Saccharomyces cerevisiae S288C: one gene and its partners. Changing the gene in region 1 together with any one later gene gives a genetic interaction. Each region holds a gene or a part of one and is shown on either strand. Other genes may lie near its edges.

Region 1 (3,703 bases):
GCAATTCCTTCTTGTTGATTCTTTCCCAATCCTTCCATGTGGTGTGCTTGATATTAGAGAGGTCGATAGAATTCTCTAAGGATAGCGCTCCGCTGACCACCAAGTCTTGTATTACTCTGTCTCCAACTTCAAAAGCATCTTGCATTGTCGAGGCAATAACGCCCTGGCTGCCCTTACGGATCCAACCAGATGCATATAAATGTGGGAATATTTCTCCGCTGGAAGTTAAAACACGACCCTGTTTATTAGCTATATGATCTTTGTCAAATCCAATAGACAACTTAGAGAATTCAGGCATGGGAACGCCTGCATATCCCAATGAAGTAATCAGCAAATCCACTTTATATGTCATAATATTATTGACGTCCTTCAAGGGTTGCAAACTGTTATCTTCATTTAATCGATTGTTACATAAACTCAAAGAGTTGATTGCACCAAAATCGTCTCTATTAATTTTCAAGGGAGTCTTCAAATAATCTAACTCCCAGAATTTGTCATATCCGCTGCTTGGAGGAGGAGCCTTTTTATAGTTTTTCTTCGAACGTTCATTAAATGGCTTGAGATACTCACTACACATCTCTACTCGTCTATTGAATGCACGATCGTACTTAGATGGGTCAAACATTTCTTTCTGGAAAAATTTAGGATCAATACGGCCACGTATGCCATACTTTTCTAACTCCCATAGTTCTCTTAATTCTTTGTTGGTGAATTTGGAATGAACGAAATCCCTTCGTGCAATTAGCTTAACGTCCTTTACAGGTGCCCTTCTTAGCAAATTTAGTGCAAGAGATGAGATGTCCGTATTTTCCCATATTTCATCAATTTGATTAGAAATAAGTACACGCGTAATATCAAGAGCAACGTTACCGTTTCCTATAATACCAACTTTCGAAACTTTGCTCCAGTCAAAATCGGTAAATCGCTTATCCTTTGCGAAATCAGGATGACCATTGTACCAATTGACAAATTCTCTACTGCTAAACACCCCTTTTGTTCCGAGTTCGCCAGGGATATTCAGCTTTCTGTCCCCTGTACAACCATAACTTAAAATAACAGCATCTTGATTATCCAGCAATTCCTTCAACAATATTTCTTTTCCAATGGTTATACCACCAACAAAGGAAAATTTATGCTTTTGGTTTGTAGGGGAAGAAAACTCTTCTGCACATGTGGTAAACGTTTCTTCACAATTTTTGACTTCTGGATGATCAGGTGCCACACCATATCTACTTAAACCAAAAGGAACAGGTAACTTTTCCCATATAGTAACATTTAATGGAATCGGTGACTTCTTGAGTAAATGGTACGCTGTATAAAAGCCGGAAGGCCCCGATCCAACAATGGATACAGTCTTACGGTTTATTTGTGAAGAAATGTGCCTTATTTGAACAAAGCTCATTTTCACAAGTAATGAGCTAAAAAAGGAAGAAGAAAGAGTGAGAAACTTTCTAAATGAATGAATGAGGCGTTGTGGCCAAGAACTATAGCAAGCAAAAAACTTTCTGTTACGTTCGAGCTATAGTTTACTGCTCTTCGAATTATATCTCGATTGAGTTACCCTTAAAGAGTGCCGAAAAATCGATGTAAATAGTATAAGTAAAGATTTCCACTCTTCTATATTTGCAACGCAGTAGACGTACCAAGGGACGATTTGAAAAAAAATGAAGTGTGCCCTCAATCTACCATGTCGGATAAGCCGATTGACATACAATATGATAAACAGGCTACTCCAAATCTGAGTGGTGTAATTACTCCGCCAACAAATGAAACTGGTAATGACTCAGTCCGGGAAAAACTTTCAAAACTAGTTGGCGATGCTATGTCAAACAATCCCTATTTTGCCGCCGGCGGTGGTCTTATGATCCTTGGTACAGGTTTAGCTGTAGCTAGATCCGGTATAATAAAAGCCAGCAGGGTCCTATACCGACAAATGATTGTCGACTTAGAGATTCAGTCGAAGGACAAATCATACGCCTGGTTTCTAACATGGATGGCCAAACATCCTCAAAGGGTATCTAGACACTTATCCGTTAGGACAAACTACATACAACATGACAATGGATCAGTTAGTACAAAATTTTCGCTGGTTCCGGGTCCGGGAAATCATTGGATTCGTTATAAGGGTGCTTTTATCCTGATTAAAAGAGAAAGGTCCGCAAAAATGATAGATATCGCAAACGGGTCACCATTTGAGACCGTAACCTTAACTACACTGTACCGTGACAAACATTTGTTCGATGACATTTTGAACGAGGCTAAAGACATAGCCCTGAAGACTACTGAGGGCAAGACTGTTATTTACACTTCTTTCGGCCCTGAATGGAGAAAGTTTGGTCAACCAAAAGCTAAAAGGATGCTGCCCTCCGTCATTTTGGACAGTGGCATCAAAGAGGGTATTCTCGATGACGTTTATGATTTTATGAAGAACGGCAAATGGTACTCTGACAGGGGTATCCCATATCGCAGGGGATATTTACTCTATGGCCCTCCCGGATCTGGTAAGACTAGCTTTATCCAGGCTTTAGCGGGCGAATTAGACTACAACATTTGTATTTTAAACCTCTCCGAAAATAATTTAACAGATGACAGATTAAACCACTTAATGAATAACATGCCAGAAAGGAGCATACTATTACTGGAAGATATTGACGCGGCGTTCAACAAAAGAAGTCAAACTGGTGAACAAGGTTTTCATTCTAGCGTAACATTTAGCGGTTTACTGAATGCCCTGGATGGCGTCACATCTTCTGAAGAAACTATTACATTCATGACTACCAATCATCCTGAAAAGCTAGACGCGGCTATAATGAGACCAGGTCGTATTGACTACAAAGTCTTCGTTGGTAACGCAACTCCATACCAGGTAGAAAAAATGTTTATGAAATTTTACCCAGGTGAGACTGATATATGCAAAAAGTTTGTAAATAGTGTTAAAGAATTGGATATCACCGTAAGTACCGCCCAGTTGCAAGGACTTTTCGTTATGAATAAAGATGCACCACACGATGCGTTGAAAATGGTCTCCAGCTTACGGAACGCTAATCATATTTTCTAGGTGCTAAGTGGCGCCTTACTACATAACTTGTATATAATAAAAATTCAGAAGATGCTTTAACTTTTTCTCGTTAATAAGACCGAGTTATTTGCTATTACGAACAAAAGAGTATATGATAAAGAGGCTTAAAAATACCCCTTCATTGACTATCCAGAAAAGCCTGCGTTGCAGCTTCAATATGATAAGGATATACTTCCCTCAAACCTTCTGCAGTTGCCCTTGTTCTAGCATCCAGCAGAATTTTTCTTAAAATGGCCTGAAATCCACATGCCAATAATAATTTCTTGTTATATTCTTGACTAGACTCTTGATCTTCATTTTGCCGTTGGAGAAGATCTTCTAGCTTATTCTCCTCCGCATCTAAACTAAGCTGCCGTAGCAAATAATTGGCCAATGCTTCCGTATCCATGGAAGAATGTTAGGAACTGTTGCTATTGTTGTACTTTGGTTATACGACAGTAAGTAACGTTGACTTGGTGACCGAAAATAGACACGAAATCGCTACCCGTTTCCCCAGAATATCACTCCTCACGATGTACCTCGGCGGCTAATCTTTTTGGTAGCCTTTTGTGATATATATATAAATAAATAAGTATACATACATATATATATATATATATTTATACAGCTACATTGTTTTCCTCC
Region 2 (4,262 bases), on another chromosome or scaffold:
CAAATTATATAGTAAATAACCAATTAAAATAATAATAGTAATAGAAACAGAAAGTAGAACACTGTTATTGGATTCTTTCAGTTGGAATTATTCATATATAAGGCTTAAGCCAAAGATGGCAAGTTAGAAACGTCAATGTTACGGTTCTTTTGAACGGTGTTAGCAGAGTTAGTAGCGTTAGCAGTGTTGTTACCCTTTCTAGCGCCTCTACCACCACGACGGTTGTTGAAGTTGTTTCTGCTGTTGTTGTTTCTGTCACCGAAGTTCTTTCTAGTGTTAGATTCAACAAAAGTGGCATCAAATTCCAAGTACTCCTTGGTCTTCAATTGCTTAGATTTGACGTTCTTGACCTTGGTTGCTGGAACGTAAGCTTCCTTTTCAGCAGTTTCAATTCTTTCAGCGTCTAATTCAACCTTCTTAGCTTCTGGGACCTTGTTGAACTGGTTGTTAGCTTGTTGGTTCAAGTAGTCTTGCAAAGACAATTGAGCGGTCTTTGGCTTACCAGCGTCTTCAGCTTCTGCAGCGTCTTCAGCAATTTCAGCAGCAGCATCGGCTTGAGCTTCCTTTTCAGCACTCAATTCCTTCTTGTCATCACCCCAACCTTGGTTAACCTTCTTCTTGGTGTCAGTCTTACCAGTTCTAGAGTGGCGGTCAGTGGCCCTTCTGGTGTTGGACTTCTTGGTGGTGGCAGAGTCAGTGACATCCTTTGATCTGTTGTTTCTTCTACCAGCGGTCTTGTCTCTGATAGCACCCTCGTTACCAGAAGGTCTTGGTCTGTTCTTTCTAGCCTTGGATGGGTCAGCGGATGGAGGTGGGACGTCAGCCTTCTTGGAGGAAGTGTTGCTCTTGACGATTTCCTTTGGTGGCAAAACGACAACGTCAGCGTCTTCGACGTCGTTACCTAACAAATCAAATGGGTTGGACATTGAGAATAAAATGTGTATGCTTTCTTGGTTTATTTCTACTTCACCTCTAAAAGAATACTGTGGGGGGAAGAGAAATTTGCAAAGAAATAACTTCTAATTTAAAACTACGAAGCAGAAAAAAAAATCTTCCACAATAAACCAAGTATACAACTAAAACAAGCGAAGGAAGGAAGAAGAACAAAGGGGATATCGACTCAAAATCAAATATTACAAGGAAAATACCATATAATTTCTCTACTCAGTTAGGGCTTCCTCTACGCAACGATGATATCAAAATTGAAAAAAAAATTTCTTTTTGCGTTGGTGCGAACTTTTGGGAACACTTTCCATTCCAATAATTTCACTTTCCTTTATCTTTCTAAACGGTGATGTTACCCGTCTAAATAACAACATGGTAGCGCCATATGTTATACGGCTACAACTTTGTGTCACGTGACATTGAACGGCTTTAAAGCGGAGTATGATCTCTTTTCTGAGGCAATAAGGGGTGATGATCAGAAAGTGAGGAGGAGGAGACTCTGGATTAAAAGCCTATTACAACTTTATTCTAGTACAAAACTTTTGCTGATTAAGCAACGACAAGTAAGATCGAATAAAGTGGTAGAAAAACAGCAATAAGTTACAAAAGTATACGTGTTAAAGAATGACCATTGATGGCACGGGGCAATCTAAGGAGGCGCTGCAAGATGAACGGTTAAATACTGGCTCTGATAAGGTTTACCAAAACTATATGATGCCTGCTTTAGAACTCTACGATGCCAAGGTCTCCATAAACCATTGGCAGTTGCGGGATTGTATCAAACCAGGCTCCATGAACCAGAGTAAACTGTATTATATTTACGATCATTCGATAAGAGTACTAGATACGGATTCTTCCGTATTGAGGTCTCCAGTAAGGCGACATAATTCTATTCAACCGAGTAACAGTGGTAAAAACTCTACTGAAAAAACGTCTACAAAAGGTTCTAGGACAACGGGCTCGTATATCTCCAAAAATTTACATGTTCCTTCCGAGAAACTGGTAGAGTTCAACTTTAAGCCGAGATGTTTCACGGAATTAAATGGGTTGACTGTTTGTGGTGGTCTAATCGGTTCTGATGATAAGGGATTCCCTTCTAATTGGAACCGTTTAGCTCAAGATGCAAATATTTCGTTGCCGCCACCTTCCCAACCGATTAATATTTCCAAAAATATTAGTTTCCCTATAAATTCACATTATTCAAATCCTAATATCTGGAAGGGCATCGTGGAGTTTTATAATCAAGAAACGGACACAATGATGACTTTTACGTTGGGCCAGTTCATCAATAATTGTGTCACACTTTATGACAGGGCCAGTATGCAGTTTGATCTTTTTGCATGCAACAATGATGGTCATCTTTACCAATGCGATGTAAGTAATAGAGATGTAACACTAGTGAAGCGTTATGCGGATTTAAAATTTCCTTTGAATAACGCTTCTTTGTCACATGATGGTCAAACGATGGTAGTGTCTGGCGATTCTAATAAATTTGCTGTTTACAATCAAAATGAATTAACCAACCAATTCTCCTTACATTACGATAATCATCCTTCCTGGGGTAGTTCTGTCAATCGTGTTAGACGGATACCACGGTTTGCGTTACCTGATGAATCAGAATATATCGAAAACATATATGAAGCTCCAAATTCAGACCATGGGTTTTATAACTCTTTTTCCGAAAACGACTTGCAATTTGCGACGGTATTTCAAAATGGTACTTGCGCAATTTATGATATCAGAAACATGGCTACTCCCATGGCAGAAATTAGTTCGACTAGACCACATTCCCACAACGGTGCATTTAGAGTCTGTAGGTTCAGTTATGGCCTAGATGATTTATTATTCATTTCTGAACATCAGGGCAGAGTACACGTTGTAGATACAAGAAACTACGTTAACCACCAAGTTATTGTTATTCCTGATAAAGTTAATATGGAATATATAAACGAACGGAAGCATAATACAAATCATAATTTCACCACAAATAATAACAACGAAAACGAAAGTAATGATAGCAAAAATGAATTACAAGGGGCGGATTATCGGTCTTTATCAAGAAGAAGATTTTCGCTGCCCTCTATGCCAAATGTAACCACAGAACCATGGATAACTATGGCTCAAAGAATCCCAAAAAAGTATTTGGAGCCGCAAATTCTACCTTTTCCGAAAGTTATGGATAAAATTAGTAACGAATCGGTTCTGTTTTCTACGAAAGGTAGTTCATCAAGTGACGTAGCTCATCCATACAAGAGACGATGTTCATTCAGGGTAAGGAGAGTATCGACTTCGGCACCAACCGCCGATTATTCTAATAACAATGTTAACGCAAGTCTTGGCACACCTGCTGCTGATTCTATCGCAACTTCGTCGTCAAATTCCGCACCTCAAAATTTAATTGACCCCTTAATACTTTCTCACCAGCAAGCTAGTAATGATGTTTTTGAAGATGATGAATATTATGAAGCTTACAATGATGTTCACTCAACGTATCGTGTTTCTTCAGACTATCATGGTGTTTCCGCAAGAGCTTTTGAAAGTTTTCTCAGACCACCTTCAACGCCAGACTTACCGTCAGATGATGACAATTTTGCTGCAAATAGTAGGAATAATAGAGGCACATCCAATTTTTTGAGAAGACCAGTGATTACAACTCAGGAAAGTAACGAATTCTCAGAAGAAAACAATATATCAGGTATCGATTGGGTTGAAGATAGGAATGGGAGCTCCTTGATTATTGGTACAGATTACGGAATTATGAGGTGGAATATTAACTCATGGGCAAGAAGAAGTTTCTCTAGTTATGACTTATGTTGAACTTCAGCCATACATATATTGTGATTTTAATTCACCCGTTTTATTACTCTTTGAAAATACAAGGTTTTTCCCCGATAATTTTACGTTTTATTCATTTTTGATACGCATTTTTTTTACTTCTTGGCTATTTAGGTAAGTAAATACTCGACACATATTTTAGTCAGATAATAGTAATGATATTTATCTTCCCTCTTTTAATTTCAGTGTTTCAGCCTGACTAAAAAAGAATACTACTATTCATTCCATTTGGCTAATTCTGTTTCATCAATAGATATTGGCTGATCAATTTTATTGATGTTGATATCACTGCACAATCCACATTTCTCTACAATGATATTTTCTAAATCATTCAAATTATGCTTACTTTTGGCCTTTAAGAAGTTTTCCGTCTTCTGCCTCAAGTTATAATCATTTGAGTTCAGTATTACCCTGATTATACAGTTCCAGTGAAAACAGTGGCCACAGGGGAAAACAATGAACTTTTTGATCTGTAGAAATTT
Region 3 (3,985 bases), 260 kb from region 1:
ATGTAATCTTCGAGAGTTACTGCGGGTAATACACACATGTGTCACATATTTTTCTCTCGAGTATGAAAAAATTTCATTACCTTTGTAAAAGCTTAATACGATCATTTCAATATGACTAGTAATAAAGGGGAAAGTTTGCGAAAATGGATGATTTTTCAAGAGATACCGAAAACTTTGTTTGCTGGTTAAAAACTACCGCTGAAATTGAAGTATCCCCTAAGATAGAAATCAAAGATCTTTGTTGTGATAATCAAGGCCGCGCAGTAGTTGCCACTCAAAAGATTAAGAAGGATGAAACATTGTTTAAAATACCTCGTAGTTCTGTTTTAAGCGTTACAACATCTCAACTGATAAAGGATTATCCTTCTCTCAAGGATAAGTTCCTGAACGAAACCGGATCGTGGGAAGGTTTAATTATCTGTATACTTTATGAGATGGAAGTTTTGCAAGAAAGAAGCCGATGGGCGCCTTACTTTAAAGTTTGGAACAAACCAAGCGATATGAACGCGTTAATTTTTTGGGATGATAATGAACTGCAACTTTTAAAACCATCACTTGTCCTTGAAAGAATAGGAAAAAAGGAAGCCAAAGAGATGCATGAAAGAATTATTAAATCAATCAAACAAATTGGTGGAGAATTTTCACGTGTAGCGACGTCCTTCGAGTTTGATAATTTTGCCTATATTGCAAGCATTATATTGAGTTACTCCTTTGATTTGGAAATGCAAGATAGTAGTGTAAATGAAAATGAAGAAGAAGAAACCAGTGAAGAAGAACTTGAAAATGAGCGCTACTTGAAATCGATGATTCCACTTGCTGATATGTTGAATGCAGATACCAGTAAATGCAACGCTAATTTAACTTACGACTCTAACTGTTTAAAGATGGTTGCTTTGAGGGATATTGAAAAGAATGAACAAGTGTACAACATATACGGAGAACATCCAAATTCGGAACTACTAAGAAGATATGGGTATGTTGAATGGGACGGTTCGAAGTATGATTTTGGAGAAGTGTTACTTGAAAATATTGTCGAGGCGTTAAAAGAGACTTTTGAGACGAATACTGAATTTTTGGACAGGTGTATTGATATCTTACGCAATAACGCCAATATTCAAGAATTCTTAGAAGGTGAAGAAATAGTACTAGATTCATATGATTGTTATAATAATGGTGAATTGTTGCCTCAACTAATACTTTTGGTCCAAATCTTGACAATTCTTTGCCAAATTCCAGGTTTATGCAAACTGGACATAAAAGCAATGGAAAGGCAAGTGGAGAGAATTGTAAAGAAGTGTTTACAATTGATAGAAGGTGCCCGCGCCACTACAAACTGTAGTGCCACATGGAAACGTTGTATTATGAAGCGTCTAGCCGATTACCCCATAAAAAAGTGCGTTTCTATCGAAAAACCTTCGAAAGGAAACTCATTAACAAGGGAAGAACTAAGAGATGTTATGGCTCGGAGAGTTTTGAAAAGCGAAATAGATTCGCTGCAAGTTTGTGAAGAAACCATCGACAAGAATTACAAGGTTATTCCTGATGAAAAGCTGCTAACTAATATTTTAAAGAGAAAGTTGACAGAGGAAGAAAAAAGCTCTGTCAAACGTCCTTGCGTGAAGAAGTGAGCGGTTGTTCTAACCACTATTTAAAGCCGCAATTAGTAATGCAAAAAGTTGGCCGGAATTAGCCGCGCAAGTTGGTGGGGTCCCTTAATCCGAAAAAGGACGGCTTTAACAAATATAAACTCCGAAAATCCCCACAGTGACAGAATTGGAGAAACAACCAGTTTTGATATCGCCATACATATAAAGAGATGTAGAAAGCATTCTTCACTGTAATGTCCAAATCGTACATTTGAATTTCTTGTAGGTTTATTTAAAAGGTAAGTTAAATAAATATAATAGTACTTACAAATAAATTTGGAACCCTAGAAGATGTCGAAATTGGGACAAGAAAAAAATGAAGTAAATTACTCTGATGTAAGAGAGGATAGAGTTGTGACAAACTCCACTGGTAATCCAATCAATGAACCATTTGTCACCCAACGTATTGGGGAACATGGCCCTTTGCTTTTGCAAGATTATAACTTAATTGATTCTTTGGCTCATTTCAACAGGGAAAATATTCCTCAAAGGAATCCACATGCTCATGGTTCTGGTGCCTTCGGCTATTTTGAAGTAACCGATGACATTACTGATATCTGCGGGTCTGCTATGTTTAGTAAAATTGGGAAAAGAACGAAATGTCTAACAAGATTTTCGACTGTGGGTGGTGATAAAGGTAGTGCCGACACGGTTCGTGATCCAAGGGGGTTTGCCACCAAATTCTACACTGAAGAAGGTAATTTAGATTGGGTCTACAATAATACACCGGTATTCTTTATCAGAGACCCTTCCAAGTTCCCTCACTTTATCCACACACAGAAGAGAAACCCACAAACCAACCTAAGGGATGCTGACATGTTTTGGGATTTCCTCACCACTCCTGAAAATCAGGTGGCCATTCATCAAGTAATGATCCTTTTTTCAGACCGTGGTACCCCTGCCAACTACCGTAGTATGCATGGTTATTCTGGTCATACCTATAAATGGTCCAATAAAAACGGAGATTGGCATTATGTGCAAGTTCATATCAAAACCGATCAAGGAATAAAGAATTTGACCATAGAAGAGGCTACCAAAATTGCGGGATCCAATCCAGATTACTGCCAGCAGGATTTATTTGAGGCTATTCAGAATGGAAACTATCCTTCCTGGACAGTTTATATTCAAACAATGACCGAACGCGATGCCAAAAAATTACCATTTTCAGTCTTTGATTTGACTAAAGTATGGCCTCAGGGGCAATTCCCTTTACGGCGTGTGGGTAAGATTGTTTTGAACGAGAATCCACTGAACTTCTTCGCACAGGTGGAACAAGCTGCCTTCGCCCCCAGTACCACGGTTCCTTACCAAGAAGCAAGCGCTGATCCAGTATTACAGGCCCGTTTGTTTTCATATGCGGATGCTCATAGATACAGGCTAGGTCCTAACTTCCATCAAATACCCGTAAACTGTCCATATGCATCTAAATTTTTCAATCCCGCTATCAGAGATGGACCGATGAATGTTAACGGCAACTTCGGCTCAGAACCTACATATTTGGCCAACGATAAATCGTACACGTATATCCAACAGGACAGACCCATTCAACAACACCAAGAGGTATGGAATGGGCCAGCTATCCCTTATCATTGGGCAACATCCCCAGGTGATGTAGATTTCGTGCAAGCAAGAAATCTCTACCGCGTTTTGGGTAAACAACCTGGACAGCAAAAGAACTTGGCATATAACATCGGCATTCATGTAGAAGGCGCCTGTCCTCAAATACAGCAGCGCGTTTATGATATGTTTGCTCGTGTTGATAAGGGACTATCTGAGGCAATTAAAAAAGTAGCTGAGGCAAAACATGCTTCTGAGCTTTCGAGTAACTCCAAATTTTGAAACGCTCAAGTAACAAATGAGTGGCGTTGTTTCCACGACAATTATTTATGATAGTGTGTATTTTTAACACATTTTATTTATTACAATTTATGTATTTTGTTATGAATTATTTATTTATACGACTAATAGGTGATGCTCATATTCTCGTGTTAGAAAGTTAAAAAAATTATCATTTCACACATAGGAAAGCTCGTCGCGCCGGGGAAAAAGCTGAGGAATCTCTATTATTAGGGGTAAAGTTCAACACATTCAGTATGAGATAAGTGTGTCTTCAAGAGAGATGCAGCACTGAGTAGGGAACCAAGAAACGATGTCTGAATTACTAGATAGCTTTGAGACAGAGTTTGCGAAATTTTATACCGACAGCAATCTGGAAGAGACAAACCTTCAAAAATGTCTTGATCATACTCATGAATTCAAGAGTCAATTAAAGAAGTTGAAAGCGCACTTAAACAAGCATATTCAGGAATCAAAACCAGAAGTCTATAATAAGCTGAGTG

What was found. Genes that interact genetically often act in the same process or in processes that back each other up.
Region 2: mutations in BCS1 (region 1) and GID11 impair growth when combined (synthetic growth defect), as found in Saccharomyces cerevisiae (2 studies listed by BioGRID, with this or other methods).
Region 3: mutations in BCS1 (region 1) and CTA1 together harm fitness more than expected from each alone (negative genetic interaction), as found in Saccharomyces cerevisiae (2 studies listed by BioGRID).

The regions. Positions count from the first base shown.
Region 1 is NC_001136.10:1,224,521-1,228,223, reverse strand, and holds BCS1 (bifunctional AAA family ATPase chaperone/translocase BCS1), read left to right. Parts: upstream 1-1,687; coding exon 1,688-3,058; downstream 3,059-3,703. Other genes in the region: ARH1 (NADPH-adrenodoxin reductase), read right to left, coding at 1-1,402; WIP1 (Wip1p), read right to left, coding at 3,198-3,467.
Region 2 is NC_001144.5:437,131-441,392, reverse strand, and holds GID11 (Gid11p), read left to right. Parts: upstream 1-1,569; coding exon 1,570-3,762; downstream 3,763-4,262. Other genes in the region: STM1 (Stm1p), read right to left, coding at 105-926; tethering complex subunit PEP3, read right to left, coding at 3,996-4,262.
Region 3 is NC_001136.10:967,633-971,617, reverse strand, and holds CTA1 (catalase A), read left to right. Parts: upstream 1-1,937; coding exon 1,938-3,485; downstream 3,486-3,985. Other genes in the region: RKM4 (ribosomal lysine N-methyltransferase), read left to right, coding at 144-1,628; ubiquitin-protein ligase RMD5, read left to right, coding at 3,796-3,985. UniProt on the Saccharomyces cerevisiae protein: Catalyzes the degradation of hydrogen peroxide (H(2)O(2)) generated by peroxisomal oxidases to water and oxygen, thereby protecting cells from the toxic effects of hydrogen peroxide.